Linked DNA regions of Rhinolophus ferrumequinum. The protein of the gene in region 1 interacts with the protein of each later gene in a biochemical or structural test. Links are inferred from orthologs where the notes say so. Each region holds a gene or a part of one and is shown in the gene's direction. Other genes may lie near its edges.

Region 1 (7,752 bases):
GAGGAAACATCAGACAAAGCCAAACTGAGGGACATTCCACAAAATTCCTGGCTTGTAATCTTCAAAAGCGTCAAGGTCATGAAGGTCAAGAGAAGTACGAAGAACTGTTCCAGACTGAGGGAGACACGCCTTCTGAATGTTCAGGTGTCACCTCCCTCATGAGGCCTGCCCTGACTACCCCATTTCAAATTCCAAGGCCTCCCCTGCCACACTCCCTATGCCCCCTTCCTTGTCTTACTTTTCTCCATAACACTTCTCACCTTCTCAATTTCTAACATACTACTGTGTATTTCCTTACTTTTCTATATTGCTTGTCTCCTTCACTAAAATAAAAGCTCCACAAGGGAAGGTACTTTTGTCTATCACTTGTCTATCTTGTTCACTACTGTGTCCCTAATGCCTACAACAGGGTTTGGCACATAACAGACCTTGGCAGCATGAATAAGTCACACACCACAACTGTTTGAATCACTCTCATCCTCATCACTCTCGTCCCCAAGCCTCCATTTTTATTTTTATTTTTTTACTTATTTTATTTATTTATTTATTTATTTTTAAGTAATTGCGGTTTTTGCAATTATTTTTAACCTTTTAAACTGCAATTACTTTTCTTTTTTTTTAAGGAGGGCCCAACTCACAGTGGCTCATACAGGGATCGAACCGACAACCCTGGTGTTACTAGCACCACGTTCCAACCGAGCTAACCAGCCACCCTAAGCCTCCATTTTTTTAAAACAAGGCTAATAAACAGTTCCTTAAAAATCTATTAAGTACAACCATCCAATAGAAAATGCATAAAGGACATGAATTCCCAGAAAAGAACTGCAAATACCTTTAAATTTATGAAGGGATGTTTAAGTTCACTCCCAGGAAGAAAATGCAAATTATAATTACACAGGATTGGCAAACATCCAAAGGCACTTTCCTGCTGGAGGCAATGTGAAATGGTACAACTATTGCGGCCCCCACTGTCCCCCCCTACTTTCTCCACATGCTTTTGCTCAAGCTATTCCCTCCCACTGGAATGCCTTTCCCTCTCACTTGGGAAAGTCCAAATCCTGCCTCAATTACTCCCACTGATCCATTTGAAGCCAATCAATTCTTCAAAGAAGGACTTGGCCACACACATGGCTTCAGTTGTCACCCCTAATGGTCTTCATATCTCCAGCCCAGATTTCCCTCCAGCCCCTGAATTTCAGACCTGGTCCCCAACTGTTCACCCAACGGACACATACCAGACCTTGGATGTCTAACAGACATCTCAAATGTAACATCTAAAAACAAACTCCTGATCTTGCTCCACACCTGCTCCTAATGGAGTAGTTCCCTTGTCAGCTGATGACAACTCCATCCTTCCAGCTGCTCAGACTAAAAACCCGGGGGTCAGCCAAGACTCTCTGTATCTCCCTGTATCTGACCCCTTCGCAAATCCTGGCATCTTTACCTTCAAAATCAATCCAAGATCTAATCCTTCCTCACCACTTCACCACTTCCACTTTTACCACCTTGGTCTGATCCTCTCTCATCACTTCCTTGACTCTTGCAGTAGCCTTTACACTGAGTTTTCTGCTTCTCCCTTTCCCCTTACAGTTTGTTCTCTCACCACACAGAGCAGCCAGATTGTTTATTCTAAAATATAATTTATAGGGGGCCGGCCCCGGTGGCTCGGGCAGTTGGAGCTCCGTGCTCCTAACTCTGAAGGCTGCTGGTTCGATTCCCATATAGGCCAGGGTGCCCTCAACCACAAGGTTGCCAGTTCGACTCCTCGACTCCTGCAAGGATGGTGGGCTGCACCCCCTGCAACTAACAACAGCAACTGGACCTGGAACTGAGCTGTACCCTCCACAACGAAGACTGAAGGGATGGCAACTTGACTTGGAAAAAGTCCTGGAAGTACACACTGTTCACCAATAAAATCCTGTTAAAAAAATAAATAAAATATAATCTAATTTATATAATGTGACTCTCCTGCTTAAAATCTTTTTATGGCTCCTATGGATCTTAGAATAAAAAACATTTCAGCCTGGCTTGCAATGCCCTATTTGACATGGCCTAGGATCTCATCTCACAGCACTCTCCCTCCCTCACTGCTTTCCAGCTACAAAGACTTCCACGCACTTCCTCAAACATGCTAAGAACTTCCAAGCTCAAGGCTTTGCACTGGATGTCTCCTCTATCCGGAATGCTTTTCCCCATGTTCCTTGTGGTTCACTTCCTCACTTTTCACATGCCACCTCTGAGAGGCATTCCCTGACTACTTTACATGGGGTATGTCGTGCGGGAGACCCTGCTCGCTGCACCATTTGTCGTGTGAGGTGGCCTGCGGGGTCTCTAGACCCGCTCCCCACATAAGAACGCAGGACATGGTGAGGCCAAAAAGGAACACCCATGGAGCCATAGATAGGGGAGTCATACCGCTATAGTCTCACTGGAGGCTGGATCCACACGACCTGCAACCTGCTGTCCGCTTTTCTGCCTGCCAACCGACTGACTCAACTCACCAATGCAGCCGTGGCAGTTATATCAGTGGCTAATTGGCTAACTGGTTACAGCTGACGGCCAATTAGCCACAGCTGACGGCCATCTACTACCCAAGCCAGCACCTTTCTACGTGACACCGAGAGCCTGGAAACTGCTCTCTGGGACTCTGTCCCCACAGGTATTAGGGCAGGTCTCTCTGAGATGAGGCAAACGATAAATAAGGAAAAGATCTGATGGAAGAGAGGTCTTGACTATTGCAAGGGCAGTCTCCTTGTTATGTTCTCTGCAGTGTCCCCAGTGCTCTGCACTTAGTAAGTGTCATGGAGGGTCTCAGCTCCCACTCCCCACACAAGAATGCAGGATACGGTGAGGCCAAAAAGGAACAACAGAGCCACAGATAAGGGAGTCACATCACTATATTCTCGATGGCAGCTGGTCGAGACACAAAAGCAAACATCTGCCAGTACCCCAAGGGGGTCTTCCTGCACCCCAGTCTCAATGGCAGCCAAGTGAGATGCAGGAAGTAGGACCCACACGATCTGCAATCCTCTTATCCACCACGCTTGCTAACCCCACTTGCCAGCCTCAATCCGCCGTCCGCTTCTCTGCCAACCAACCAACCCCTCTTGCTAGCGTAGCCAAGGCAGTTATATTAGTAGCTAATGGCTAACTGGTTACAGCTGATGACCAACTAGTCACAGCTGATGGCCATCTATTACCTGAGCCAGCATCTTTCCATATGAGGTCGAGAGCCTTCTGCTCTCTGGGACTCTGTCCCCACAGTAGGCATTCAATAAATCTTTTTCAAATGAACAAATTTGGAGGTTGTTGACAAGATATGAGGTACAGAATTTGGGATAAGATGTTAAAGGCATTTTGTGTTAAACACCTTCGCTCAAACATCTTCTCAGCGAGGCCTTCTGTGGGGACAGAGCCAGGAGTGCAGTTTCCAGGCTCTCGGCCTCACGTGGAAAGGTGCTGGCTCAGGTAGTAAATGGCCATCAACTGTGATTGGATGGCCATCAGCTGTGGCTAGTTGGCCGTCAGCTGTAACCAGTGAGCCATTGGCCACTAATATAACTGCCGTGGCTACGCTAGCAGAAAAATAGGGCCTAGCAAGAAGATGGTGGCTGAGCTACCAAGCGGCGGAGTGTGGATTGCGGATTGCAGAGGCGGATTGCAGCTAGCAAATGGGGAGTCGGTCGGTTGGCAGAAAAGCGCACGTCGTGTGAATCCAGCCTCCAGTGAGACTATAGTGGTATGACTCCCCTATCTATGGCTCCGTGGGTTTTCCTTTCTGGCCTCACCGGGTCCTGTGTTCATATGTGGGGAGCGGGACCAGAGACTCCGCATGACACCCCGCGTGACATCTTCCTTGACCCCACTGTCCCCCAAATTTCTGCTTACCTTGTTCTATTTTTCTCCATAGCATTTAGGAATTATATATACAACACACATTTGCATATATATTTAGTTATATATTCACATGCAAATATAGAATATACACGATGTATTAAATGTAAGACATTTATTATATACAGATGTAAATTATTTACATATTGACACTAGCTATCATGTTATGTAAACTATGTAGTATTTATATGTACATTGTATTACATAATATATATTATATAGTCACATGTATCTATTTTAATACATATTTATATGCGAAGCTATAATTTTTACTTATGTGTTATGTTTATGGTCTGTCTCTCTTGCTAGAATGTCAGCTCCGTGAAGGCAAGAAAGCATCCCCAGCGCCTGACCTACCGCTTGAGCTCCATAAATGTCAAATGAATGAACTCCTTTGGCCATCTGAGCCTCAGCCTTCCCATCTGGAGGATGGGTGTGTCTTTCCATTTGGAGGTACCCCAGTGTTCCGCTCCCTTTTCTCACTCCCAGAGCACCGCTCCCGGAATTCCACAGCCCAGGTTTACATTTTCCCATACCCTGGCCGCTGATGCCCACCACGTGCACCAGCCGGGGGCCAGATCGGACTACCACCCCCAGCATGCCTCGCGCTTTCAGGAAGGACCACAACCCGTAGGGGTGTCTGGGTCTGACACGTTCTGCCGAAGGCGCGGGAGCAGGGGCGGGCGCCCCTCTAGCTAAGCGTTTGTGGTACGTCCCAAACCGGGGCCCTCCAAGTCCCCGCGCTTCCGAGCTCCGCGCAAACTCTGGCTCTTCTTGTGCGACGGAGGTGGTTTGCTCTTCCGTTGCCCCGTGGCTTCGGCTCATCTCCAGCAGGAAGGCGAGGCTTCCGCCCGGCGCAGGGGGTGAGCTGGAGCACGGTGCCCCCCAAGCCCCTGGACAGAATTTGAGGGAGGGGGCTCAGTTTCGGGGATCCCCCAATGGGCATATTTGGAGGCTCTGGGCCCGGGATGGCTTTTAGGGGTGGCTGTTTTTGAGGGACCCTTAGGAAGTGGCTTTTGGGGACTCCGGGGAGGGATGTGGGAATCTGTTGTAGGAAATATCCCTTGGAGACAAGGTTTATATACCCCTCGGAGACAGGGTTTAGGGGGATGTTTGGGGAGACCCTTATGGTCCATGAATGAGTACTCTGTCCATGAGGCAGGATTTGGGGTGCTTCCCAAGGGGAGAGGCGAAGTTTGAGGTCCCTGAAGTCAAGGCGGAATTTTGAGAGGGCTTGTTTTCAGGAGAGGTCCTGACCACGGTAGGAACGTTCAGGACCGACGTGGCATTGTGAAGGTATCTGTGGCCTTTGTGACCTCTGCTTATATGATGCGGTTCCCCCCCCCCCCGTGCTTGATTACTCGGGGCGGGGAGACTGGACCGGTCAGAGCCCACAAGTTGTTAGGAGAGGAGCCCCCAGCCCAGGCTGTGGAAGGGACGCCGGAGCACAGCTTGCTACGCGCTTCCCGAGGGTACTGGGTGCCACCCGGCCTTCGTTGGCCGCGGCTTTCTTCATTATTCATGAGGAGGTGGGGCTATGAGGAAGCCCATTTTTTTGCCTCTTTCGCACCTGGTCCGCTGGAAGTATCGGCTTGTGAATTATTCACGATGGGGCGGATCAGCGTGCTGAAGGGGCGTTCTACAGTTTGCCGGGCAAACTAGACCTCATTGATTAATCGTAAAGGTGAGTAGCACCCAAGTTGTCAGTGGCTTCTCTAGGGGCGTTGTGCATAATTCATGAGGGGCGTAGCTTTTATGGATTCATCTGCATGATACACTGTTAGCTTTGCCTTGTAGGCTCCAGGGTTTAAACCTCGTGCATGGTTCATTTCTTAAAGCTCAGTAATCTCAGATTATCAACAAAGGATCTAGATTCAAATCGTCTTCTTTCCAAGCCGTGTGATCTTTGTCAAATCTTTCCGTGAGCCTGAAAAGTGGGCATGGGCATGATGACGATCAGATTAATTTACACTAATTTAGCACTTTATTAGCACATTTAATCCCCACAACAATCCTAGGAGGTAAGTTGTTATTATCCTATTTTATAGATGAGGAAACTGGGACACCGGGAGGGTAAGTAATTTGCCTACTCCCAGTCAGTGAGTGGCCGAGCCTGCATTCAAACCTAGCCAGTCTAGTTCCAGAGTCTGTACCCCCTAATTTAATGGTACTACCACTGTTAGTTAAATAGAACTATGTGCCAGGCACGGTTCTAAGCCCTTTCTACATATTTATTCATTTAAAATCCATCATCAGGTAGGTTACTATTCTCATTTTATGGGTGGGGAAGCAGTGGCCCAGAGAAGTGAAATGTCTGGCCCCAGGTCACAGCGCTAGTCATCGGTAGGTGGAAGTGATTTTTGTGAGGGTTTAAGAACTCTCTAAGGAGGTCACCTTTGAGCTGAGACCCGAAGGACAAGAAGAAGGACAAGAAGAAATCGATTTCCTGCTCTGCATTCCTGAGATCAGTGGCACAATGCCGGGAAAGGAGACACCACATCTGTTAATGGGATCTATTATTATTCGACAGAAATGTATTCGGTGCTTGGGGTTCATCTGGCAGTCAGTCCTACCTATTTAATGGATATTGGTGGCCTGAGCTTTCTGTTTTCCAGTGTCCTTCTGGGAGGGTGTTTGAAGGCATTATTTTTTAAATAATGCCCCAAGTTGGGGGGCTTCTCTAGTGGTTGCGAATACGCTCACACACAACTAATTTTATATTAATATATTTACATATTACCTTTATAGTAATATACACATATATATATTTTAAAATTTAACAGTGCCCTGTGCCAGCACTACACTGAGCTCATCCATAATTCATATTCTCTGATTTTGATAATATATTGCCTTATGAGGTAGATGGGTTCTCTTGCTATCCCCATTTTACAGTCATGGAAATTGAGGCACTTGCCAGAGGCATGTAGTGCGTCTGGATTTGGTTGGAACAAGGCAGCCCTATTTCACGTGCAGTTAGTCAGGGGTGGGGAGGCGGCTGCTACACTTCCCCTGGGTTTCCGCCATGGCTCTGCAGCATCGGCTTTTATTATTCATGTACAGGAAGGCTTGCCCATGTTGCCAGGGCTGGATTACCCTAATCCCTACTTGCTGGGAGGGCTGTCCATCCAGTCTCATGCATAATTCATAATGAGTGGGTGGGACCTTTCTTGACCTCTCTGAGTTTCCAGGTTGAGCTGCTGCAACATTGTTACTCATTATTCATGAACCGGGTAGGGTATTTTTTCTGTAGTAGCCCTATTTCCCAGGTTACAGAGTATTAGATGCTGTAATAGGTGGGCCTGCCCCTTTTGTTCCAGCCCACGGGGCCTCATGCATTATTCATAAGAGATGTAGCCTTGGTCTCCTTGGCTTCCGGGCTGCTGCAAGATCATTCATTATTCATGACAGTGGGGCGTGGCTTCCATGTTGGCTTTCTGGTCGCAGAGTGTTGGTCAACCAACCACCTGGGCATATACATAATTCATGATCAGGAAGTGTGGGCTTGAGGTCCCTTCTTGGTTTCCATGGCAGCCTGGCTGCAGCAATATATTCATTATTCACGTTCCTCTGCTTTCCTGGTTTTCCTAGTTAGTGCCATAGTAGCCACCAGGTGGAGCTATTCCTCTTCAAATGAGTCCCTGACATGCGGGGATCAACATTCATGATTCATGAATGGGCGCGGTCTGCCTGCATCCGGGTTCCTGGGGGTAGGGCCCAAGGTTTTGTTCCGGCCTTGGGCTCAGCAGCCGCCATCTTGTGTCGGCGGCGGAGGTGAAGGAGGCTACGGGGACGAGCGCAACCACTACGGCCGGGGGAGGAGAAGGCGGCGGAGGCGGCGGCGACGACTCTAGGCGGCCC
Region 2 (7,487 bases), on another chromosome or scaffold:
AAGGTTAGGTTATTTGCCCAAATTCCAGGCATACCTCATTTTATTGCACTGTGCTTTATTGTGCTTCACAGTATATTGTGTTTTTTACAAATTAAAGGCAAGATCCTCCACCAGCAAAAAGATTACAACTTGCTTTATTGCAATAGTCATTTTATTGCAGTGATCTGGACCGAAACCCACAATATCTCTGAGGTATGCCTATACATCAATAACAGGTAACAAATCTGGGACTAGAAAGGGTTGTTTGTCTCTAAGTTCTATGCTCTTACTGAATCATGCTGCTTTTGGGGGGGTTGGTGTTTGCCCAAGGAGCCTGTTACAGAGGTACTGTGGAAATGACAACAATGTAGGAGGTGAAATCTTCCGTCCTTGCTACTGTGTGGCCTGCATTTTCCTGCGCTCACACTGACTGCTTCTGTGGGGACAAATTGTAACAGGGTTACGTGGAAATGACTTGAAATGAGTTTTAAGCTTTTATGTCTATAGCAGCCAGGAAAATGCTAATATTATTGCCCTTAGAGGGGCCTGGACCCAAGATCTCAGATGCCAAGAACACCAGCTCAAATGAACCTATTTCCTGCTAGAAATGGTCAAATGGAATCAGAAGGCCTTTTTGGGAGGACTTTCACATTGGGTGGGGTCAGTGATAAATGCGCTTGGTTTTAATGCCATTGGGTCAACAGGTACCTTCAGACACAGAGGCAACTTCTGGGCTCTTCCACTCCTCCACCAATGATAGGTTTTCATCTTACTCCCTCTTTGTGCCTTGCTCAAAGCATTACATTCTCTCCAAACTTACGTTCTTGCCTTGGAGAAGCTGCTCCTGAGATCAGAGGCTCCCCTGGTCAAGCTTGGCCCTGCCCTGGGGTGAGATAAACAGGCCCAAATACATTTCCCAGATTGCAACACTGGTGAGTCAGGCAGGGTCGGACAGCTGTTCCCTCACCGCGTCCCTGGTCGTTCCTGATAAGGAAGAACATGGCTCATGCCAGCGTGCTGCCGTGTGTGTGCACATATAAACAGAAACTCCCAGGCCCCAGTGTTGTCTTAGAGTAATTATTGACCTTCTGAATGGCTGAACATTGGGGAAAAAAGGTGAGCGCAAACTTACTCTGCGCCAGAGGAGTTCTAGGTTTCACAAGCCAAAAATAAGTAAAACCAGGGCTGTCATTTGACACCACTTGGGAACCACCTTTTGAACCTACCTAGCCAAGGGCAGGTTCAGGAGTCCTCTGAAGCTTTGGGAAGAGGAGGGGGAAGGTTGCAATGGAGGGCGGGGGAGGAAGCCAGGAGAGAGGAGATGGATTTATGAAGGTGCAAATGGCAGAATGCCCAGAGAGAAAAGGCGTATTGTAGAAATGCGAACATACCTTCACCACAAAGAGAAGGAATTGACGCTATGACATCTTTTAAAAAACACCAAAAAGAGCGAATTCCCTTTTCCTTAAATGACATACAGTGTATAAGGAGTGGGGCAAATGGGCGGGGGTTGATATTAATAATACAATAATACTGCCACCAATATCATATTACACCTTGTAATGAACACTTCATGTTACCTTTATGAAAAGCAATTTATAGTTTACAAGGGGTTTTCCCATTCATCTTTCCATTGACTCCATCAGCCTACTGAAGTTATGAGCCACATTTTACAGATGAGAAAATTGAGGCTCCGGGAGGATATATGCAATTAACTGAGGCATAATTAAGAGCTGGAGAGGGGCAGGTTTGTCCTAAGTAACCCAGAGCTAAGGTACTTACTAGACACACTAGGAAGGGTAATTCCTTTTCTATTTCCCCCGCTTTCTTCCGCCTCCCCTCCCACTCTGGGTTCAAGCCATTGTTTCTCAGTCTAGTTGTGTAGGACACAGCTCCCTGGCCCATGCTGGTATTAGGAGCCTTGCGCTCCCTCAGGCTGAGGCAGTTGGTCGCCAGTCATCAGTCGGTGGCCACCAGCCGCTCATGGCAGCACATGGTAGCCCAGGGGAGCCGACAGCAGCACATGGCAGCACACGGCAGCACACGGCAGCCCAGCTCCAGGGAGAGCCGTTGTTCACAGTATTAGCTGTAGAGGGCGCAACTCAGTGGCCCATGTGGGAATCGAACCAGTGATCTCGGCCTTAGGAGCATGGCGCTCCAATCATCTGAGCCACTGGGTCAGCCCCAATAACTCCTTTTCAATGACTGCCTCGGAGGGCTAAATCTCCCTTGCATTTCTAGGTAGAACAGCCCTACCTCCTCCAGTGTTGTCCAGAACAAGTTTCTCCAATTAAACACGCCTCTAATTAGTTTTGCTTAGTACTTAGATCACAGTAGCATAGCATCTGTGAGGATTAAAGCATCAGGGAAAATTTCTAGATCCACCTCATGCCCTTCTTTCTTTAGTGTCCCATCCTTGACTCTTTCTAACTGTTCTGGAAGCAACACCTTTGGATGCTGTAAGCTTGCCACCTTGCTCTCAGGTGGGGAGGAAACATCCTTATTTGCACAGGACACTATGGAAGCACAGGACCCAATTTGAGGGGTCAGGGTGGTGTTTTGAAAGTGCCCATACCTACTGGAATCGTCAAGCAGTGGTTGTCAAACTTTGGCCTGCATCAGAATCATCAGGGCAGCTTGTTAAAGACATGGACGCCCAAGTCCCACCCAGACCTTCTGAATCAGAATCCCCACGGGTGGGGCCTGGAAACTTGTGAACTAAACAAGCTCCCCCAGTGATTCTGAAGTACACCAAAGCTTGCGAAGCACTGTCTGAGCATGGAAGCGGGAGTTACTCAGATGAAGGAGAGTGGAGGGCCATACTGGGTGACAAGGTAGCAGCAACAGAAGCCCAAAGAGCCTAGAGGAGACTCAGTCAGGAACGATTTTCTGCTCCATTCTTATCTTCCTTTAGCAAAGTGGTCAAATAAAGGGAGTTAGAAATTCCTTCGTTCAAGTATGTCCTCTTCTGACAGAATTGCTATGTGCAGTAGGAAAAAAACAATGCACCACCTTCAGAAGCAGTTAAAATAGTCTATCTTTTTCAGAAAGTAGAATAAAGGTTACCGGGGGCTGGGGTGAGTGAGGAAGGAACAAGGAGTTACTGTTTAATCGGTACAGAGTTTCTGTTTGGGGATGATGAAAAAGTTCTGGAAATGGACAGTAGTGATGGTTGCACAACATTGTGAATGTATTTAATACCAGTGAACCGTACACTTCAGAATGGTTAAAATGGCAAATTTTATGTTATGTACATTTAGCTCACACACAAACTAGCTGGTCATTTTGAGGGATGGAATGATGGGAGCAAACACCGTTCAACTTTAGCTGATTGCCGTGTGTGTGTGTGTGTGTGTGTGTGTGTGTGTGGTTACATAAGGGGACTGACAAAGTACTAGTGGATGCATACATAAGATTTTTGAAAATGGATGGCAGTGAAAATGTGGTATAAATATAGAGATGCCTAAAACACTCTTGCCTGCCCCTTTTGCCTGGCTGGTTCCTGGGTTCCACATCCCTTTTTTTGGAGCGCCTTGCAGAGCAGTGTCTCTCAAACTTCACTGCTCATAGAAGTCACCTGGGGACTTCCTTAAACTGCAAATTCTAATTCGGTAAGTCTGAGGTGAAGCTCAAGCCTGCATTTCTAACAGGTTCCCAGGTGATGCTGACACTCTAAATCCACAGACCACATGGGAGGGCTGTGCAAATTTATAGAGTCATTCTTAGTTCACCATGATATCTGTATGTCCAGCAGAGTGATCAGTACATAGTAGGTGCTCAATAAATATTTACTGAATGAATGAGTATGTAGGGTTGGTATAGGAATTTGGAGGGCAATCTTTGTCCTCAACTACAGCATATGTAAGGTGTTTCTGCTTCTGTCAGTCATTCATTTTGTGAAATTACCTCATACTCTGTAGAGTAAGGATGTGGGTACTAAATTATGTTTGGCCTTGCCGCCTTGCTGCCTCAACGCTAATCCTTGAAATAGTGGCCCTATCTATATACGTGGAGAATAATGAATCCTGGTTTGCAAGCTCTGAGGAAGCCTCGCTATAGTCTAAAATCGCTGTAAACAAATTCTCTCCATCTAAGGAGGTTAGATTGTAGGGAACCTGCTGGAGCCGGAAATTTCCAGATTTTGGTGCCTGAGTAACAGCCACCTTGGCCTCCTCAAATCAAATAAACAGCCTTTTTAACAGTGTGTGAGAAGGAGGTTCATTACACTAAAACACATGAAAGTAATAATATTGCCATTATTTACTATTATCGTTTATGATGATGATAACGACACTGGCAGTTGAGCGATTGTGTGGGAGAGTTGGGGGAGGGGGCCCAGGGCCGAGAAGGCAGGAGAAAAAGGAACTACATCTCCCAGAATCCCCGACGAAAGTCCACGCCGCGGCGACCCACCCCTTTCGCCCACTGGACCCGCCCTGCCGATGACGTCACAGAGGTGACGTCACGGCGCCCAGAGCGAGGCTAGGGTAGAGAGGCCGACTGAGCTGGAGTCGTCCGCTGGTCGTGGAGGCTGCTAGGGAGCCAAGAGAGGGTGATCGGGCGAGCAGACGAGAGAGCTAGAGCAGGCAGGAGGGAGCGTCGCGCGGCGCAGAGTAGCGCCGGGGCTGGGCCGCAGCGGAACCCACAGTCGGAGAGGGGCAGCCCGAGCCGGGCGCCGCGGGGTCCCCACCCCCACTCGGCCGGACAGTGCCGGGTGTTCCCCGTGCGGGGGGCGGCGGCTGACTGGACCGGACAGGACCTAGAGGGTGTTGCCACCTCTAACGAGGAGCCGGCGCGTCCGCGGGCTCCGAGGAGCCGGGGCCCGGGGCCCGTGACAGACCAGCGGAGGAAGGGAGAAAGGCAGCGGCGGCGGCGCAGGCGACGGGGAAGCAGCGGCGACACCATGTCATCCCCCAGTCCGGGCAAGAGGCGGATGGACACAGACGTGGTCAAGCTGTATCCTTCGTGGAGGGGGGATTCAGGCTGTACGTGGGGGGCGGTGTGGGGATGCCCAGGGCACCCCCCTGAAACCCAAGCGAGGGCCCTGGGGCACTACAGGGCACTGTCCGAGGCTCCCTCCCTCCTACCAGCGCCTACGGCGGCTCCTTGGCACCTCCCATGACCGAGAGCCTTTTCAGCTCCCCCTTTATCTGCAGCACCCCGAAACGTGCGTTTTTCCTCGCTCTTCCTGCACCCCCAGTGCTCATGACTTTCCACCACGACGTTTGGACTCCCTAAACGGCCCCCCCTTTTTTCTTTTTTCCAGTACCAGCCACCTCTCTTCACCTACGAGCCCACCTTCAGGGTCTCTCTTTCCTGTTTGCTCTTTTGACTTTAGGGACTCGAGATAGAAATTCCGGAGAGTGAAGCCTTTTCTCCTTTTCTTGAGATGCCTCCCTTCCCTCCACTCACAGTGCTTCTTGAACTGGGGTAACTCAAGTGACCTCCTTTATCCCTAATTCCTTTCTATATTAGGAAGAGAGTAGTTTGCTCAGTGCCCCCTCTTGTAAGTGATAAAGAGCTCTGAATGTTTTAAATCAGAGACCCCTGTTAAGCTTTCTGGTGCCTAGTAGAACCTCACTGTTTTTCTTTCCACTGACAAAGCCTGTCCCACCCATAGTTATATGTGGCGAGGACCCCCAGGCCCTCTAGCAAGCCACCCTCCATATTATGCATATGACAGCGGGGGGAGGGAGGGAAAGGATTTCCTTAACAAAATAGCCCCTGTACTATGCACTTGAGCAAACACCCTTTATGAGGATAAGGTTCTTGGGGAATAATTGCCATGATCTTGCCAAATGACACCCTTTATTTTCCGACCCCCCCTCCCCCAACTTTATGTACTCTGGAGGTAGCAGTGGGAAAGCTGTAACTGATAAGAGTCCGTCAGGCAGTGGTTTTGGTTGGAGTCCAGACTGATTATTTCATGACCAGCTAGAGAAATTCGCGAAGGTTCCTGTGACAAATCGAGAAATTTTTTAAGGAGTAATTTAGAGGGTGGGGGGGAGAGAGGAAATGAGCCCAGTGTTCTGGACAACTAATCACTGGGGAGAGGGGGAAACGTGTAGGGAGTGGTAGTGTGTGAAATGCAGTTAAAAAGTCCTGTCTCTTGCTTCTCTCTCCCTCACCCCCATCCCCCCACCATTTCCCCCTTTGCAGGGTTTTGTTTATATAACTCAAGTTGTTTGGCTAGATTCTTCAGGTGAATTCCTTCTTTCTTCCTTTTGTTACTGTTTTGATTGGACATTTTACCTCTTTGTAGAGATCGATGATTGTTGTTAAATAGTCAGTTATGGAATTTGCTAAACTTTTAAACAAGTAGTTTTTGCATTTGGTTTGGAAGTGGGGGATGGGAGGGAAGTTGACTGGGCAAGAGATTTTTTCTTTTTATAATCTTTTCAGGAATAAGAAGGTGTTTTTTCTCCTCACTCAGGAAACTTGGCTGGAAATTAGGAACAGTAGATAAACTTCTAAGTTTAGGGCTTGAAGTTTAGAATTTGGGGGAGGTAGAAGTGAGGAGCAAGTAATAAAGTATATATTACGTACCAAACATATATCCAGGCACAAGTGAAATGGACTTTTTATGAACTGTTTGTGGCTCTGATTGAGTTTTGTAAACGTGTGAACGATACCAGTAATGTTGGCTTTTCATAAGGTTGCAGGAAAACTTGTAACTATGGCTGTGTGTACATTTCACACAAAGCAGTTTCGGGTTTTATTTTTGTTTAGAAACTAGGAAATGACAGGGTGGCAGAATCTGAGTTATTTTTATCTTGAATTGAGAGTTAGTGTCACACCTAATGCAAATTTCTACCTAATGTTTAATTAGGATGGGGGTGGGCAAGAGAATGCCAGCTGTTTTTGATCAATGTCAGATTCTCAAATTATATACATACATATTTTTAGAAGATTGAGGATAAATAGTGAGGCCTAACTTGACCTGATGCCTTTTCCATACAGTGCCTTTTGTTCATTTAGTAGTTGTGGCATCTAGAATGATTACCGCATTTAGGAGTCGGGTGTGGGGGGTGGAGAGGGAGAGGAAAACAGACAAAGAACAGCAGGGTGTCTTTCTTTTTTCTTCCCCTAAGTGGCTTATTTCATAGCTTATTTTTAGTAGAAGATGAAGAAAGGCAAAGATGCTTTGGCCTTCTGTTCTTTCCCCACCTTCCTCCTTTCTGACAAAAGAAAGCAGAGGCGCTTTAAAAATCATAGATCTCTGAGATATGAGATAGGAGGACACCAGTCTCACGATTTAACAGGCACAGGTTATCTTTGTTTCGTATTTGTTATTTTCTGGGCTAACGTAGTTTGGAAGTTAACATTTTTGTATTTTCTTTTGTGTGTGCATGTGTGTTGTGTGGGTGAGATTTTTGTGGCCTCCTTTCTCTGTTGAATTCACACTGGTAGGCCCAAATGGAGCCAACAATTTTTAAGCAAGGTATATTTAGCAAAACATTTAAGTAAAAATTTCCCAACCCATTACTAAAATGAGTACAATAGTGTGA
Region 3 (8,134 bases), on another chromosome or scaffold:
CAACTGCATTTATAAAATGCTTCTTTGCTTATTAATGGGAAAAAGCTTTTAAAATGATGTACAAGTCATCTGGTAAAAGACACCTACCTACTACTAAAACTAGGATTGTAAGCACTCCACTGGGTTTCAAATATACTCATTTGATATCTCTCCATAATATTTTCTTCTGGAATACAGTATTAGAAAAGTGTTAAAATAGAATGAGCAGGAAGACATATCTTGAAAATAGAAACTGAGAAGGAAAAAATGAAATCAGTTTCTCTACTGGATCCCTCAGCCAGCCACCAGGTGGTAGGCACAAGCATAGCATTAGAGCTGCAGTGCAGTGAGGTGGGGCACAAAACAACTCCTTTCTGACTTTTTTGTTAAAATAACCAGAGTTGGAACTTGTGTTGCTGATAATGAACAACATCTAACATTAATATCAGCTACATTCCTACGGGAAAATTAGTCCCATTTTTCTTAACTACTCCAAAGGGGGAAATTCTGGGGGAAAACAATAGGAAAAACTATGGCAGATGTTCTTTTTTTAAATAATGATAATAATAATAATAAACTATTATAAAATATTCAAAGGAATTAATAAAATGTTTACACTAGAGACCACCTATGTCTTTTCAAGCTCTTTTTCATTTTAAATCATACTTTAGGAAGACATTGATGTAAAATTAGTCAGTTTATGCTATCTATCTGGTAATAGCACTGCTACTTGCAAAACAAGCAATCCAAGGTGTACAGAGATTGCCAAAGTGGACTCATTTATGTTAGGGGAATTAGCATGGAGCTGGGAGACCATGAAGAAGTTTGCCTTACACGGTTCTCCATAACCTTTTGAGCTTCTCAGCCATGGACTTCTTTCTCACCATGACAAACTGATCATTTACATTCTTTACTTTGAAAGAAGCTAACCGCTTTGCCAACCAGCATTCTTTGTTTGCATGTTAAACTCAACCAATCCCAGTTAACCTACCCAGAATCCTTTATTTACATAAAGAGGGCCAGATTGAGAACAGTACATGTAACCTGAGCCTTTATTAAAACTGCATTTCTTTGTTTTTCCTTTAGCTTAGACCTCTTTATTGTTTTACACTAGTTAGCTGATGGCAGATATTTTTAGTATAAAAAAGTACATACAATGGAATTTCAACTCTATTCATATACCTGTACTTTATAAATAAAGGCTCAAGCAAGGTAAATACACTACAATGTTCATCATGGCCATTTTTTTAAATGCTAAAGAATAAATATCTTAAAGTGTGTGGTCCAAGAATAGCTCTGATTCTAAGAAGCATATCCCTGCTTTCAAATGGTGGGGGGAAAGGCCTTGTATGACACAGCCTGATTCTGCGTTAGCACGGTGAAAACAATCTAGGTTTCAGAGTTGGAAGATCCAGATCTGAATCAGTGTTTTTCTACTTTTAGATGAGTAGCCTTGAATATGTCAATGATATTCTTCAGAACCTCTGTAAAATGAATTTCAAAGTATTCAAATCAAGACATAAATGAGGACCTAGAAAAATTTCCTTTTATCAGTATGATAAAAATGATATACCAAAAAAGATAAGAACTTTTAATGTAATTGTAAACTGAGTATTTAAGTAAATTGTTTTTTCTGAGACCTCAATTGTCTTCATCTGTAAAGAGGATATAAATAATGAGGACTTATAAGACCTTTAATATCATAACTTATGGCCCCAAATTTGGAGATTTGCAGCTTGAATTCTGAAGTTGCTTAGAAGGCATTGAAACCGGAGGGCAACCGAGTCCGGGGTTTTATGCTGCCTTCGCTGCTCAGGCAATAGACCGACACAGGAGTTGGGCCATAGAATAAGCGTTTATTTTCAGAGCACCGGTGGTCTGGGAAGGCAGCAGGTTAACACCTTCAAAAATTGCCTTAACATTCTCAGACTGACTTGGGTATTTAAGGGAAAATCGGGGCGTTCGTCTAAAGGCTATGTGAGGGTTGGGATGGGGTCTGCATGGAGCCTTCCCTCTGGCAACGTGATGCTCGATTCTGCAGTGGTGTCAGCAACCCAGAAAGGATGATGTCTGGAAAGAATGATGCTAGACCATTGAGACTGTGAGCAATAAGCCTAAGGATATTAATCATAAGTTTCAGGGTAATTTTCTAAAACGGGGAACTGGGTGGGACGGGACATTCTGAGCTCAAGCCGCAAAGAGATGATTTATTGTTAAGCTATAGGTAGGTGAAGGAAGGTGAGGCCAGGGACGTGGACAGGCCTCTACTACTGGGGTCCCAACAGGGCCCTGCTTCAGCATAACTTTGCCCTTTTGGGGCTCCGAAACCACCTGTAGAGCAAGAAGCTCCCATGTAGTGATTGTGTTGTTTGAAAAATGGTACCCCCTGTGCGGTTCCTAAGCAACACCCCCTGTCCTGGACCTATTGACCCAAAGTCTTTGTCCTGTAAGCCTGAACTAGGACTTTGATAAATGCTTAATCACGTTACCCATTGTTCTTATCATTAAAAGTTCAGTTGCCCCCACCAATCAGAAAATGAATGATGTTTAAGTTTATAACCTTGTTTCCCTAGCAACCCTTTTTTTCAAAACCCTGTTTTCCTCTGCCCCAATGTGTCTTTGGTTCACATGTTCTCTGATATACAATTCATATATGAGTAAAACTCTCTTTTAATTTCTTTGGGAACTTTCGTTAACAATAATCTGTGCTGCTGACAAGGCTGTTGTGAAGAATAAGTGAGTTGATGTATGTGTGGAGGAGAAAGAAATTTTCCTCTACTTTCAAGGTTCTTTTGGCTGGTCTAATAATCAAATCGATTAGCAAGAGAAAATAACTAAATTTAATACATACATGGTAGGGGAACCCCACATACCTGAGAGACCCCATACGAACTTGCCACTGTGCACTTACATTGGCAGCACTGTACAAACAGCCTGGTAAGATTTCATAACCTTGGTATATCAGTGTCTCACAGCTGTGTTCATATCGACGTGTGGTGGTGTCTTGCTGAGTGGTGTTCGTTACTATTGTTGCGTGTTTTTGTGTGCTGTCACAAGAATGTCTGAGTTGGAAATAGAGCAATGAACAAACATTAAATTTCTTGTTAAATTTGGCAAGAGTGGAAGTGAAATCAGGGGTGTTAGTCCAAGTTAATGGAATAACGCCATGAAGAAAACGGCAGTGCACAAATGGATTACAAATGGATTAAATGTTATTCTGAGGGAAGAGAATGTGTCACTGATGAAGAGAGGTCAGGGCGGCCAGTAATGAGCAGAATTGACAAAAACAGTTGTCAAATTGTGCGTCAAAATCCTCGGCTGACTGAGAGAAGCTTAGCAGACCAAGTAAGAATCGATAAACAGAAAAATCTTAACTGAAAATGTTGGCATGAGAAATGTGTGTGTAAAAATGGTTCCAAATGATGAACAAAAAGCAAAGGAGAGTCGAAGTTTGCCAAGACCTTTTGGAGAGGCAGGACAATGTTTTGGGCTGTGTTATCACTGGTGATGAAAAATGGGTGTACTGCCAATACGACCCTGAAACAAAGCATCAAAGTCAGCCAATGGAAGTCAGCCAATGATAGATGACCAAAATAGTTCTGTCAGTCCAAACCAAGAGTCAAAACCATGTTGCTAACCTTTTTTGATATCAGAAGTATTATTCATTATGAATTTGTATCAACTGGACAAATAGTTAACCAAGTTTACTATTTGGAAGTGCTGAAAAGGCTACGTGAAAAAGTTAAGACGAAAAACGATCTGAACTTTTCGCCAACAGTTCTTGGCTCTGGCATCGCGACAATGCACCAGCTCACACAGCACTATCTGTGAGGGAGTTTTTAGCTAGTAAACAAATCACTATTGGAACACCCTCCCTGCTCACCTGATCTGGCCCCCAATGACTTCTTTCTTTACCTGAAGATAAAGGAAATACTGAAAGGAAGACATTTTGATGACATTCAGGACATCAAGGGTAATGTGACGACAGCTCTGATGGCCATTCCAGGAAAAGAGTTCCAAAATTGCTTTGAAGGGTGGACTAGGCACTGGCATCAGTGCATAGCTTCCCAAGGGGAGTACTTCAAAGTTGACCGTAGTGATATTCAGCAATGACATATGTGGCACTTTTTCTAAGATGAGTTGCTAAATTTAATTGTCCCACCTCATAGAGTCAACTTTCTCTTCCAAGTACACAGAAGGAGATATAAAAATACTTCCTTTACAAATGTAAATTTCCCTTACAAAAGGGTAACTTCTGTTTTCAAAGATTCTCCTCTCCTGTGCCTTGTTTCTCAAAATAATCCTTGTGCCAAAGAGGCATATTTTGGGGGTGGCATGTTCTGCTACCCTTCAAAACCAAAGTTGTCTATCTTTATATAACAAAATAAAACGTGCCCAACCAACCTGATTAACTGTCTTCATCCCGCCTAGTTTTCCTTCCTTCTTCAATCTCCCCACCATTCCAATTCCTCTCTCCTTTTCCTAAATCCTTGTTCCTCTTTTAAAACTTCAGAACCCATAGACCCCTTTTCCACGATCCCACTCTTTCCACAATGAACCATGAAGTGTGTCCTTTGAGATTCAACCTTTCATATTTGTATGCTTTTCCCCCAATTCAATGTAATTTCTTAGTTTCATTTTTTGACAAGTTTCAAAATTTTTTAAATTCCTTACAATACTTAAACGTGTCTGGCACCTAAATACATTATCTGAAAAAAAAAATGTTATTAAAATCCGACTCAATTTCCCTTATCACCGGAATTTCCTTTCACTACTTAACTGTTTCCACCCCAAACTACTGAATCTAAAAAAAGCATTTCGCAGACACCTAGGGGCAGCTCGCAGGTAGCCGGGCTACAGGACAGTTTTGCAGCGGGAGCCCCGGGCTACCGCCTGACCTCTCGAGGGCTGGGGTCTGGGACCACACCCGCAGCAGGTAGGGTCAGGTCCGCTTCCAGCCACGCCGTTCCTCAGTAACAGCCGCGAGCGCCTGGGGACCCCGGATGGGCCCGGCGGAAGATCGGCGAGCGGGCTTCGTGGGGCCACGGCGGCAGCAGAGTGACCGCAGGCTGCGCTGACCCACCGCCACGAAGCGACTGCCACGTCAGACCAACTTCACAAAACCTGGGCGAGGGCGGTGACGCAGGCCCGGCGGCCTGGCGGGGTTGGGCCGGGGGCCAATAGAGAAGGCTGACCTCGAGCCCCGCCGCCCCCTTCAGCGACGCCCCGGCCGGCGCCGGCGCCTGCCAGGCCCTCAGGGAGGCGGGGGAACAGCGGAAAAGGCGGCGCCATCGCGAAGCCCGCGCCTCGCCCGCACCCTCACCACCTGGTCCACAGTCCGGCCCAGGGCTGGGCGGCGTCTGCGGAAGCTCCCTCTGCCTGGCGCAATCGCCCCGAACCGCTCTGAGACCGGGGCACCAGCGGCGTGGAGAGGAGACGGCGGCGGGTAGGGCGGCCGGAGCCGGGACAGCGACCAGCCATGGAGACGCGCTACAACCTGAAGAGTCCGGGTGAGCAGGGCTGGAGGCGGTGGGCAGCACTGTCGGAGTGGACTGGAGTGACCCTGGACTCCGGGGCCCGGCGCTGCGGTCCCCTCGCGTCCGCCGCGACTCGCGGCTCCATTCCCGGTGTCGCGCTCTACGCGAGACCGCCGCCTGCAGGGCTGGTGCAGGCCGCAGGGCACGGCGGCCGGGCGGGCACAGTCGGCTGAGTCTGGGGACTGGCCAGCGCTCCGCAGCACCCGGACTCTCCTTTCCCTCATCTGCGTCGCGTAAGCTGGGTTATAAACGCATCCCTAAGAACAGGTGCAAAGGTGATGATGTCCGTGAGTAATAGTTAACAGCCCCTGGCCGGACTGCATCCTGAACACCGTCGTTATCCCTTCTCCGAAGCTGCCACTGGACTCCTTAGCTGCTTGACTCACCCGCATTTGAGGATTTAGTTGCTTAAATATCCCATTTGCAGCATTTGGAGCTAATAGAATTACAGACATAAATGAAATGTTCTGTACTAAACCGGTTAGCCAGAGAGCTAAGGAAACTAGTTGAGTCGTGTACTTTAGAGCTAACCTGATTTTTTGTCATACTGACTAATCTGATTATATATATATTATATATATTATGTATATATTGTATATTATATACATAATATATATATATATGTGTGTGTTTGTATGTATGTGTGTGTGGGTGTGTATATATATGTGTATATATATATACACATATATATACATATATATATATATTTAGTCATTGAAACTTCTTTTCCTGTATTTAATGTCCCTGTTTCATTCACAGAAGCAGCCCAAACAATCCTAGCCTCAAATTCTTTTCTAGTGCATTATAAAGATGCAGGAAAAGTAATCAGCTCTCAGATTAAGGCAGGCTTGAAATGAATCATTGTGTTCTATAAATGGTATTTATTCTATCTGTACCTTGATAAATTTGTCAGGAGGGAGAAACTCCACAGTTTCGTTCTAAATGATAATCCTAAAATATTAGAGATGGTTTGACCAACTCTTGCTGCTTATTATTTTTTTCTTCCAAAAAAGCAGCTTCTCAGTAGGAATCTTTCCTTATGGAAAGAGTTCACATTGTGAATCTTTGATTTTTTTAAATACTTAAGAATATGCAAAGACTCCAGAAGAGCCTGAGGATATTGATTGAACAGAGTTTGTTAACTTGAGTGCTGTCAGGCTAAGAAATGTTAAGTGAACAAGTATGTAGAATTGGTCATAAAATTTGAGGGGGCCATAAATTCCTGTAAGAATCTGCTAAAGGCTATGATCTATTTAAAAAAACATTTATACAATTCAATTTCAGTGGGTTCACAACTTTCCCCCTCTAGCCGATCTCTTAAGAATGCCAGGGGGAAAAATTAAAGCGAAAGAGAGAAGGAAAAACTTAACTTTAAGGTTAGATGGTAGAATGGTTAAATTATTTAGATTGTGGTAGATTTAAATAAAACGGGGAGGAGGGTAAAAATGTATGGTGACTTCTTGGTCACTTGGTACCAAGTTCCTTAGGATACCTGAGATAATGCAAATGTAAATGCACTATCCAGAGATAATGCAAATGTAATAGTACAATTTAGAGTGGAGATTGTCAGGACATTCCTGAATTTTACAGGTTATAATACCTGAGATTGTGATAAACGTTTAATATTCTCCAGAATTTTGTACGTTTCTGAAGTATATGACCTGCAGGCAGGCTGAGTTTTGGTCAACATGCTTCTAGCTGTAATAAATTGCTTCCTCTTTTTGGTTTCAGTTCCTCAAAGGTGGTGTTACTGTTCTAAAACAGAATTTTTAAAAAATCTTTTTTTGTTTTTGTGTGGATCATTTTGAGTTCATGGAGAAGGTGAATTAAATGTGATTTGGGACTTATTGAAAAGCTAGGAGGCATAGTGAAAATGCTTCCTTACTTTGTTTTGTTGTTCAGTCCTGTGATATTTTGGGAGTAATGTATATGTAAAAGGAAGTAGTTAAAAACACTGCACACTGTAAGATAAGAGATACAATCCTTTTTCTCTCTGTCTCATGTGGAGTTGCCTTAGAAGTATGGATGGGACAATTAAGACAATACAGGTAACTGGTTAAGGGTCATTGTGCTAACATGTGGATAATATATACGGATAACAAAAGACGAATACAAATCACATTTGACTTTTGCAATTACAAGAGGTGCTCAAAGTGGTTACCATCTGCTTCCAGACACTTCTGATTATGGCGAACTACTGCTTGAGCAACGTTGACCAAAGTGTCCACTTGTATACATTTTTTTGGCACCGCCGATATAATCAGTCACTATTGTCACCAGGTCAATTAAAACAAAACAAAGCATGATTAAATCACTCCTTAAATTGAGATGTCTTCAGTAGCTTCCTCATGGCTGTGGATAAAGTTCAAAGTAAATAAACCGTTCAGCTTGGCCTACTGGGCTGCTCTTGATTTGATCCTTGCCTTCCCCGTCAGCCTCACCTTCTACCACTCCTATGCTCCTTTGCATTTTCACCAACTGTCCATTCTTCATCCACTGGGGAGCCTGAGTGACCCCCCAGATGGAGCTCTTCTCACCTTTATGTCTTGGTCCCTGTTGGGACCTCTGCTTTGAATGCCTTCCCTTTAAGGCAGCTGAAATTCCTATTAACTCTTCAA
Region 4 (7,778 bases), on another chromosome or scaffold:
GGGCTTGTGCTAAATCTTGAAACATGATTTGAGTTTGAATTGACTGAGAGGAGGAAACAGCACCATTGAAGCCAGAGGAAGAACAAAGAGCTGAGAGATTAGTCAACCATTCATTCCACATTGGATGACACTTAATGTCAAGCCCTGTGTTCAGTGTCAAGGATAAAGAGATAAATAAGACATGATCACAAGCCAGAGACCTAGAATAATACTCTTGCCCTCACATTTCACAAGCTGGTCCCTCTACTAATTTAAATGTAACCTCATAGAGATTTATTCTGCCCCTGCCCTGCTTCCATCTAAAATTGCATCCACCCCAACATTTTCAGTCTTAGGCCCTCCATTAATCACCTTCAATAGTATTCAGTGAAACTGTCAATATTATTTGTCTATTGATTACTTGCTTTTGTCTATTTTTGTCTCAGCCACTAGAATGTACGCTCTATGAGGTAAGGCCCAGTCATTTCTGTTTCATTCACTATTGTATTCTTGGCATTTGGCACAGGGTCTGTCATATAGCAGGCACTCGATAAATATTTGTTGAGTGAATGAATGTCTCTTTCTTAAGAGCACCTTGGATGCTCGGAGAAAGATGTAAACAAATAATTGTAGTATAGCACTGGGGTGTTATGATATGCACACATTGCTGTGGGCACGTTAGATGAGGAACATTACAGCTTGGCGGTTAAGAGCAGTCACACTAAAGTGGGATGACCAAGGTTCAACCTGAGTTTCTGCCATTTACTCACTGAGTGACATTGGGTGACTTTCTTAACCTTTCTAAGCTTTATTATACTCAGTAAATAGCCATGTTATAGATTTTTGTGAGAATTAAGTGGGATACTGCATATAAAGAGCCTGTCACATATTGATACACAGCAAATGTTAGCTGTTGCTATTAAAGGAAGATTAGTGCTCCTTAAGTGCACTATTCAAGATTTACATGTGTTAGTTAACATATGCAGAATGAAAAAAATGTTGGCCCCCTAAACAGAGTCATTCTATAAGGTCAGAATCTTTCTAAAGCAAATACCAGTCCTTCTCATTTATCTTACTAAGATTTCCTTTATTTTTTCTCTTTGCGAGAAAGGTAATAGATTCTTCAAAAGAGCCCTGGTTGTAGAGTATCAGGTGATGCTGTGCTTAGAGTAAATATCCTGTTTTCTTTACCACCAGAGGGCACCAATCAGCAAAGTCAATCTCTACTTGTCATTATGAAACAATGTGAGAAAGGTCTAGGAAGCTGTTTCTGCCATTCATTCTTCTAACAAACATGTTTTGAGTACCCACTGTTTGCCAAACATTGTAGTAGCTTGTATATGGTTATGAATAAAACGTGTCATCCTTGTGGAATTTATAATCTTGAGCACCTACTATGTGTCTGAGAGATCCTATAAAACATGGAGGTGGAAGGTGGGGTTCAGTTTGGGGTTTTTAAAAAAATTTTTCTTGGGGAATATTGGAGAAGAGTGTATTTTTCCAGGACCCATCAGCTCCAAGTCAAGTCGTTGTTTTCAATCTATTTGTGGAGTTCGCAGCTCACTGGCCCATCTGGGAATCGAATCGGCGACCTGGGTGTTATGAGCACTGTGCTCTAACCACCTGAGCCAACCGGCTGCCCAATTTGGGATTTTTGTTTTGTTTTGTTTTGTTAATGATTGTCTTCCTGTCCTTAGTTGCAAGCCCATGAGAACAATGACTTAGTGTCTACTTTATGTCAGACGTGTGCTGTTTGCTCAGGATCCAGGGATGAATAAGACACAGTCGCAACCTACTAATAAACACTGTCTTACCTGCTAGGATAAAAAGGCATGAGACAAGTTCTGTGGAATTCTAGTTCCTCTGACCTAAGAATGTAGGACCTTAAGTACACAATGCATTAGTAACACACTAGGCTGTGAGCCTCCTAGACAGGTGTATGTTTATTAGTCACCCAGCTCAGGGCCATGCCCACTGTGGATATTTAGTATGAGTTTGTGAGTTGATTTGAGCCCAGGGCACAGCTTCTGATCTGGGTGCCAGGTCTATGTTCCAGTGGGTTAGGCTAAGGATCTACCAACTTCTGGGTCAGGGTGGGGCTGTGATGAGTTTATGTGGGTGAAATGCTTTGAAGATGAACTTTCTGCCTATTTGTCTATTTACAGTCTTGTTATTAAAGGTGTCAACATCATCTCCCACGTTTCCAGGTCAGCAATCTTCTTGTCCCTAAATTGACTGGTGGAGAGGAAGTCAGAATCAGTCACATACCATCATTTTGGGAGGTGAGGCTGCACTACTAAAACAGTCCCCCTTCTCTGAAGTGAGCTCTAATTCCAGTGGAGTTTGGCCTCAAGGCCTACTGAATAGAGTTGGGCGCTAGGGAATGATTCATTAAAATACTGAAACCTCACTTCTGAGAAAAAAAGAACAAAAAAATGAAAGGGCTCCTTCAGTGTGGTTTGTGCATAGAGATTTCCTTCTAAAGTGTACAGTATCGAAAGAAGGTAAAAAGAGTAACTTTACAATGGAGAAACCTGATACACTACCTCAGTCAGGTGAGTGAGGTCAATATCAACACTGATGGCATGTTGGCATTATGTGCCCTTGATATGATGTGATGAAAATGTTTTTTGTTTTTTTTTACCTCTGTGATCTTCTCCCCAAAACCCTATAATCCTGGTTTAATTATGAGAAAAACAACACATATCCTAATTGAGGGACATTCTACAGCATACTTGACTAGTGCTCTTCAAAACTGTCAAGGTAATCAAAAACAAGGAAAGTCTGAGAAAATGTCAAAGTGAAAAACATGAAAACTAAATATAATGTGGTGTTCAGGATGAGATCCTGGAACAGAAAAAGGACATTAGGTAAAAACTAAGGAAATGTGAGTAAAGACTTTAGTTAATAACAATTTTGATTCATAATTGTAATACATGTACTATATTACTGTACGATGTTAATAATAGGGGAAATTGGGTGCCTATGGGAAAATATGGGAACTCTCTGTACTATCTTCTCAATTTTTCTAGAAATCTAAACCTGTTGTGAAAAAGTCTATTAAACAGTGGGAGGGATCACATCCAGAATACAGCTATGCCTTTAAATTATTTTTCTTCCTTTAAAGTTCCTACTTATGGATCATTTACCATGTTCCAGTCATTGTGCTAAACCTTGTGTACAGATAATCTCAATTAATCTTTACAATTGCTTATATTACATATAATTAACCCTCTTTTACAGAAGCTGATGGAAAAGGAAGAGGTAATGTAAATGGTGGAGCCAGGGTTGGAACAAAGGATCTTTCTGATCCCCCAATTCTGGAACTTTCACAGTATGTTGGCTTTTCTATAATAGAAAACATTTAGACAGTTATCACAGGACATGCTTTCCTAAGAGAAAGGGGCAGTCTATCTAAATCACGGGGATTGAAGACTCCACATCTCACTTCAGCCATGATTATCTTAAAAGTCCCTCAATCCCAGGTTGGACCTTCAAGCTGTAAGGCTCTGTAGGGGGTCAAAGTTCACCCACAGTACTTCATTTTACAAATGGGTAAACTGAGGGATAGCCAGAGCACTTGCCTCAAATCACAGAGAGAAGGGCCAGGAACCTTGGTTCAATCAGTATTATTATTTTCTATTTCCCACAAGCTTCCTCTTTGTAGTTAAGAAGGGAAGTAGAAAGCTGGCCTATCTGCCTTCCGCATTTCTCAATGGAAACTGGCCTCACCCACTCCCCCAAATGGGTGCCACACACTGCCCTCCAAAGACACACTGGCGTGAGGGCTGGACCTGCAGAAGAGATGTCAGGACGCTTGTTCCCACCGATAAGGCCCACATTCTCAGCACATCCTTGTCAAGCATCTGCAGAGTGTAGGGACAGCGGACTGTGTGTCACGGGGAGGGGCCTGCAGGGGACCAGGGCTCCTGGGAGGATGGCTGAGGAGGCCTGTGGATGCGGTAGGAGGGCGCTGATGGCTCTAAGACCAGAGGTCCCTTCCCGGGCGCGCCTAAGGAACCAGGGCATCCAACCGTCACTTTGGGGCCAAGGGCATCCCTTGAGGCTACCCTCCGCCCTTACAGCTGCTCGGCCCTTTAAGGGCGGGGTACAAGCTCTGGCGTCACAAAGCGCCGCCACCGCGCTGGGCCACTGAGAGGAGGCGGGGAAGTGGGAGGAGGAGGAGGAGGAGGGCGAGGAGGGCGGGGGAGGGAGGGGCGCGCGCAAGCGCGTCGGGCCGCCAGCCGCCGAGAGCCTCCCCCCTCCCGGCGTGCGCCCCTCCTCCTTCTCTCCCTCCCTCGTTCTTCTCCGCTCCGTCGCTCCCGCGGCGCGAGGCGCTCTCTCTCTTCTCCTCCTCCTCCGCTGTCGCCCCTCCCCACGCGCAGCCGCCGCCGCCGCTGCCGCCGCGAGACCCCCGATCACTGCGCTCCCCCCGCCCTTCGGCCCCGCGCACCCTCCGGCTCCGGCGGCCCCTGAGGAGAACGAGAGGGCGAGCGAGCGCGGCGCTCCCGGGCCGGCCTGCCCCCCTCCCCTCACCGTCGCCTGCCCTTCGCCGCCTTCCTGGGCTTCCACCTCTTCTCCCCCCCCCCTAAGTTGAGGCCCCCTCCGGGGGGGGGAGGCCCGGGACCGGGAGCGAATTTTCTTAACTCCCTGAACCCCTCCCCCCACCTGGCCGGAGTGTGAGGAGGAGGGCCCGGCCCGCGTCGTGTGTGAGGAGGACCCGGGTCGGCCCACGGGCCGTCTGGGGCCTGGTCCGGCCCGCCGGGTGTGTGAAGACAAGGGCCCGGTGCGGCCCGGCCCGAGCGCGAGCGGAGGGGAGGGGCTTGGTCCGGCTCGGCCGGTGCGTGAGGACTGGGGCCCCGGCCCGGCGCTGCCGCCGCCGCAGCCGCGATGGCCCAGCAGCAGATGACCAGCTCACAGAAGGCCCTGATGCTAGAGCTGAAATCCCTGCAGGAGGAACCGGTGGAGGGCTTCCGGATCACCCTGGTGGATGAGTCCGACCTCTACAACTGGGAGGTTGCCATCTTCGGACCCCCCAACACCCTCTATGAAGGCGGCTACTTCAAGGTACCCCCATCCCCTCCTAGACCAGGATTCCCCGGCGGAGGCCTCTGTTCCCAGCCGCTTTTGGCTCTTTTCGGGGCCAAGGGTGAGCGAGTGTGAGCGCGGGTTAGCGGAGGGGGCTCCTCACCTCGGCAGCCCCTTCCCCCACTCGTGGAGGCAGGAAGGCCTTGCTCACCAAGTGCCTTTTCTTTGTCATGGGGGCGGGGGCGGGAGGCTAGACTGCACCGGGAAATAGGAAAGCCTCTCTGGCTAGTGTAGAGGCGACCTGGGGAGGAGGGCGGCTGTCTTTGTTTTGTTTCCTCAGCGGAAGGTGTAAGGGAAGAAAGGTGGTCTGTCTTTCCCCTCTCGTCCTCCCATCTGAACCATCCCTGCGCCGGCTGGAACTGCCCCAGAGGGCAGAGTGACCTGCACTTATTGGATTGAACCTTTCTTTTTTGGGGGGTGTGGGGGGAGGGGTATTAGCCTGTCATTCCAGAGGCTGCCTGGTGACCTGACATCTTGAGGATTTGATGGGCTTCTGACGGAGTGGTAGTTCCAACTTTGCATTCCAGTGGGCGGTAGTGAAGAATGGGGGCTTAGGGGTGGTAAACAAGGGTACCTGCGTTTTCTTTCCTTTATTCATTTGAGGGAACTTTAATTTAGCCCCCTTTCTGTCCTCATTCTCTATTTACTTCTGTAGTGTTTCAAAATGCTCTTTGTCCTCACCCTGCCACCAACTTTACTGGCTTTGTTGTTGTTGTTTTGTTCCTACATGTAGAAATATCTAGAGGGTGGAACTTATTATGTAGGGTGATTGATAGTTTTCCACTTTAGTGAGACGAAATTGAAACCCTTTGCTCAGGTGGTTAACTCTAGAAAATGGGGTGGTCTCACAGATTAAAAGTATCATCTGAGGTGAAATGGTTTCACCGAGTAGGACGGCTCCGCAGACAGCGACCACAGACATTGCTTCCATTGTTTTCCAAGACTTTAGAACGGTGGTTATTATTCTTGAATATGGTGTATTTTTTTTTTTATTCCATGGTAGATAATTTAGAGATACTGAGGTGTTGTGTTTTTTTTGTTGTTGTTGTTTTTGTTTTTTACCATTTTGGAAGGGATGGATCAGATTGAAGGTTGAATGTTTTAAATGGTGTATGCAGAGACCGAGGGAAATGAGTTCTTAGGAAAGCATTTAATTTTTGTATTTCCAAAGTTAAGTCAAATAGAGCAGTGTGAGTCAATCGTAGTTTGTTTTGAAGGGAGGGGCTATCTTGGCAAAAGTTTTAAATGAGGATCTTAAGTCATGTAGTTATGGTGTGTATATTTAGGACTACCCAATTACTTTTGTTTTTTTCTCTTCTAAAGGTAGAAGCCTCAGTTTCAGGCTTGAAGTTGGGTCAACTTAGTAGAAAATGTGAAGAATTGATAGGGGAATGTTAAATATTTATGCCTGTGATAGGCACTGAATACCTACTAAAAGCACTATTTAGAATATTGTGTAATAGCAGTACCCTTACCAGTTGTATGTCTCATCTTTTGTGGTCACGATACACTATGCTTTCAGATGCAGATATTTAAAATCACTAAATATACAAGTTATTAGTTGAGGAATGTCTTTTGTCAAGTATAAATTTTTATTTATAGATACTGAAAAAATTAGTTTCACAACATGGAATTTATATAACTTCTAGCAAAGGATTATTTAGCAAAATTTACTGGCTAAATCTAGTGGAATGAAGTTTAGTTTCCAAAAAGTATCATTGTTTGGGGCAATTGACAGTCTAGTTAGAATAATCTCATTCCAATGGAGTTTGAAAAAAAACAACTTTTCAAATTGTAATATTTTAGCTTAAATGTGAAAGGAGTGTGGAGAATCCTCTCAGTTTGGAGTAGATAGTATATAAAGAGGATTCCCTGTAGCCTACACTGATTTAAATTAAAAGCTTATTAATTTCAGCCCTATTTAAATAGAATGGTTTAATTTCCAATTTTGTTGTGTTAGATTTCTTTATCTTTGAGTTTTTTACCTTTGTGATATGTAAAAATGTATGAAAATTACAGTTTTATGTTTTAGTCTTGTGTGAGAATTTCGTTCAATTTCATTTTCTTCCACTTGTTTCCTTATTATATGGCCTTTTATCTCAAAATCCTTCATTGGAAACGCAAACTTATGGTCATGAGCAGTTAACACTGGTGATAGGTTTAAAACCATTGTTTTTTATTTCACTGCTTTTGTCTTAAAACAAGGCTTTTAGTGTGTTCCACTACAGCTGCAGTTAAAAGTTGGCACAGAACTTTCTCTACTGTTCTCCTTTATCAAATCATAGTCCTTCAACATTTAGTATAAACTATTTTAAGTTAAACTTTTTTGTCTATTTTGAATGATAGTTCTTGAAGGCAATTAGACTGCCATTTAAAAAATTTTTCATAATGAAACTCCTTTAACTTTTACATATTAATATAATAGGCTTCTAACTGATCTTTTTCACCATGAAGTAGTTGGCTCTAGTGTGTTTTAAGTACATCTGTTGTGGTAGAGACTTGGGAGACCTGTATTTCACATATTTTTTGATTCATCCTGCCTTTTTTTTTTTTTTTTTTAATCTCAAATCCATGTGAGTCTTAGCTTTGGAGGGTATGGATGTGTGATGGGTAAAGATAGTTTCTTGTATGTGTTTTTCTGCTTATTATACAATCTTTTGTGGCCTTCCTATCTTTTTGTCCAGTTTCTTGATCTCATTGACTTACCAAGT

The links.
Region 2: of the proteins of UBA1 (region 1) and UBE2H, one has a biochemical effect on the other in vitro, tested with the Homo sapiens proteins (3 studies listed by BioGRID, with this or other methods). The link is inferred for Rhinolophus ferrumequinum from reciprocal best matches to the Homo sapiens genes UBA1 and UBE2H.
Region 3: the proteins of UBA1 (region 1) and UBE2J1 form a complex in vitro, tested with the Homo sapiens proteins (2 studies listed by BioGRID, with this or other methods). The link is inferred for Rhinolophus ferrumequinum from reciprocal best matches to the Homo sapiens genes UBA1 and UBE2J1.
Region 4: of the proteins of UBA1 (region 1) and UBE2R2, one has a biochemical effect on the other in vitro, tested with the Homo sapiens proteins (5 studies listed by BioGRID, with this or other methods). The link is inferred for Rhinolophus ferrumequinum from reciprocal best matches to the Homo sapiens genes UBA1 and UBE2R2.

Annotation. Positions count from the first base shown.
Region 1 is NC_046284.1:86,707,793-86,715,544, reverse strand, and holds the start of UBA1 (ubiquitin-like modifier-activating enzyme 1), read left to right. Parts: upstream 1-4,617; 5' UTR 4,618-4,757; intron 4,758-7,634; exon of another isoform or gene 7,635-7,752. UniProt on the Homo sapiens protein: Catalyzes the first step in ubiquitin conjugation to mark cellular proteins for degradation through the ubiquitin-proteasome system.
Region 2 is NC_046309.1:16,520,004-16,527,490, forward strand, and holds the start of UBE2H (ubiquitin-conjugating enzyme E2 H), read left to right. Parts: upstream 1-4,434; 5' UTR 4,435-4,882; coding exon 4,883-4,935; intron 4,936-7,487. UniProt on the Homo sapiens protein: Accepts ubiquitin from the E1 complex and catalyzes its covalent attachment to other proteins. E2 ubiquitin conjugating enzyme that transfers ubiquitin to MAEA, a core component of the CTLH E3 ubiquitin-protein ligase complex.
Region 3 is NC_046286.1:46,026,463-46,034,596, reverse strand, and holds the start of UBE2J1 (ubiquitin-conjugating enzyme E2 J1), read left to right. Parts: upstream 1-4,813; 5' UTR 4,814-5,458; coding exon 5,459-5,489; intron 5,490-8,134. UniProt on the Homo sapiens protein: Catalyzes the covalent attachment of ubiquitin to other proteins. Functions in the selective degradation of misfolded membrane proteins from the endoplasmic reticulum (ERAD) and is essential for cells to recover from ER stress.
Region 4 is NC_046295.1:50,521,488-50,529,265, forward strand, and holds the start of UBE2R2 (ubiquitin-conjugating enzyme E2 R2), read left to right. Parts: upstream 1-4,278; 5' UTR 4,279-4,869; coding exon 4,870-5,046; intron 5,047-7,778. UniProt on the Homo sapiens protein: E2 ubiquitin-conjugating enzyme that accepts ubiquitin from an E1 ubiquitin-activating protein, and catalyzes its covalent attachment to other proteins by an E3 ubiquitin-protein ligase complex.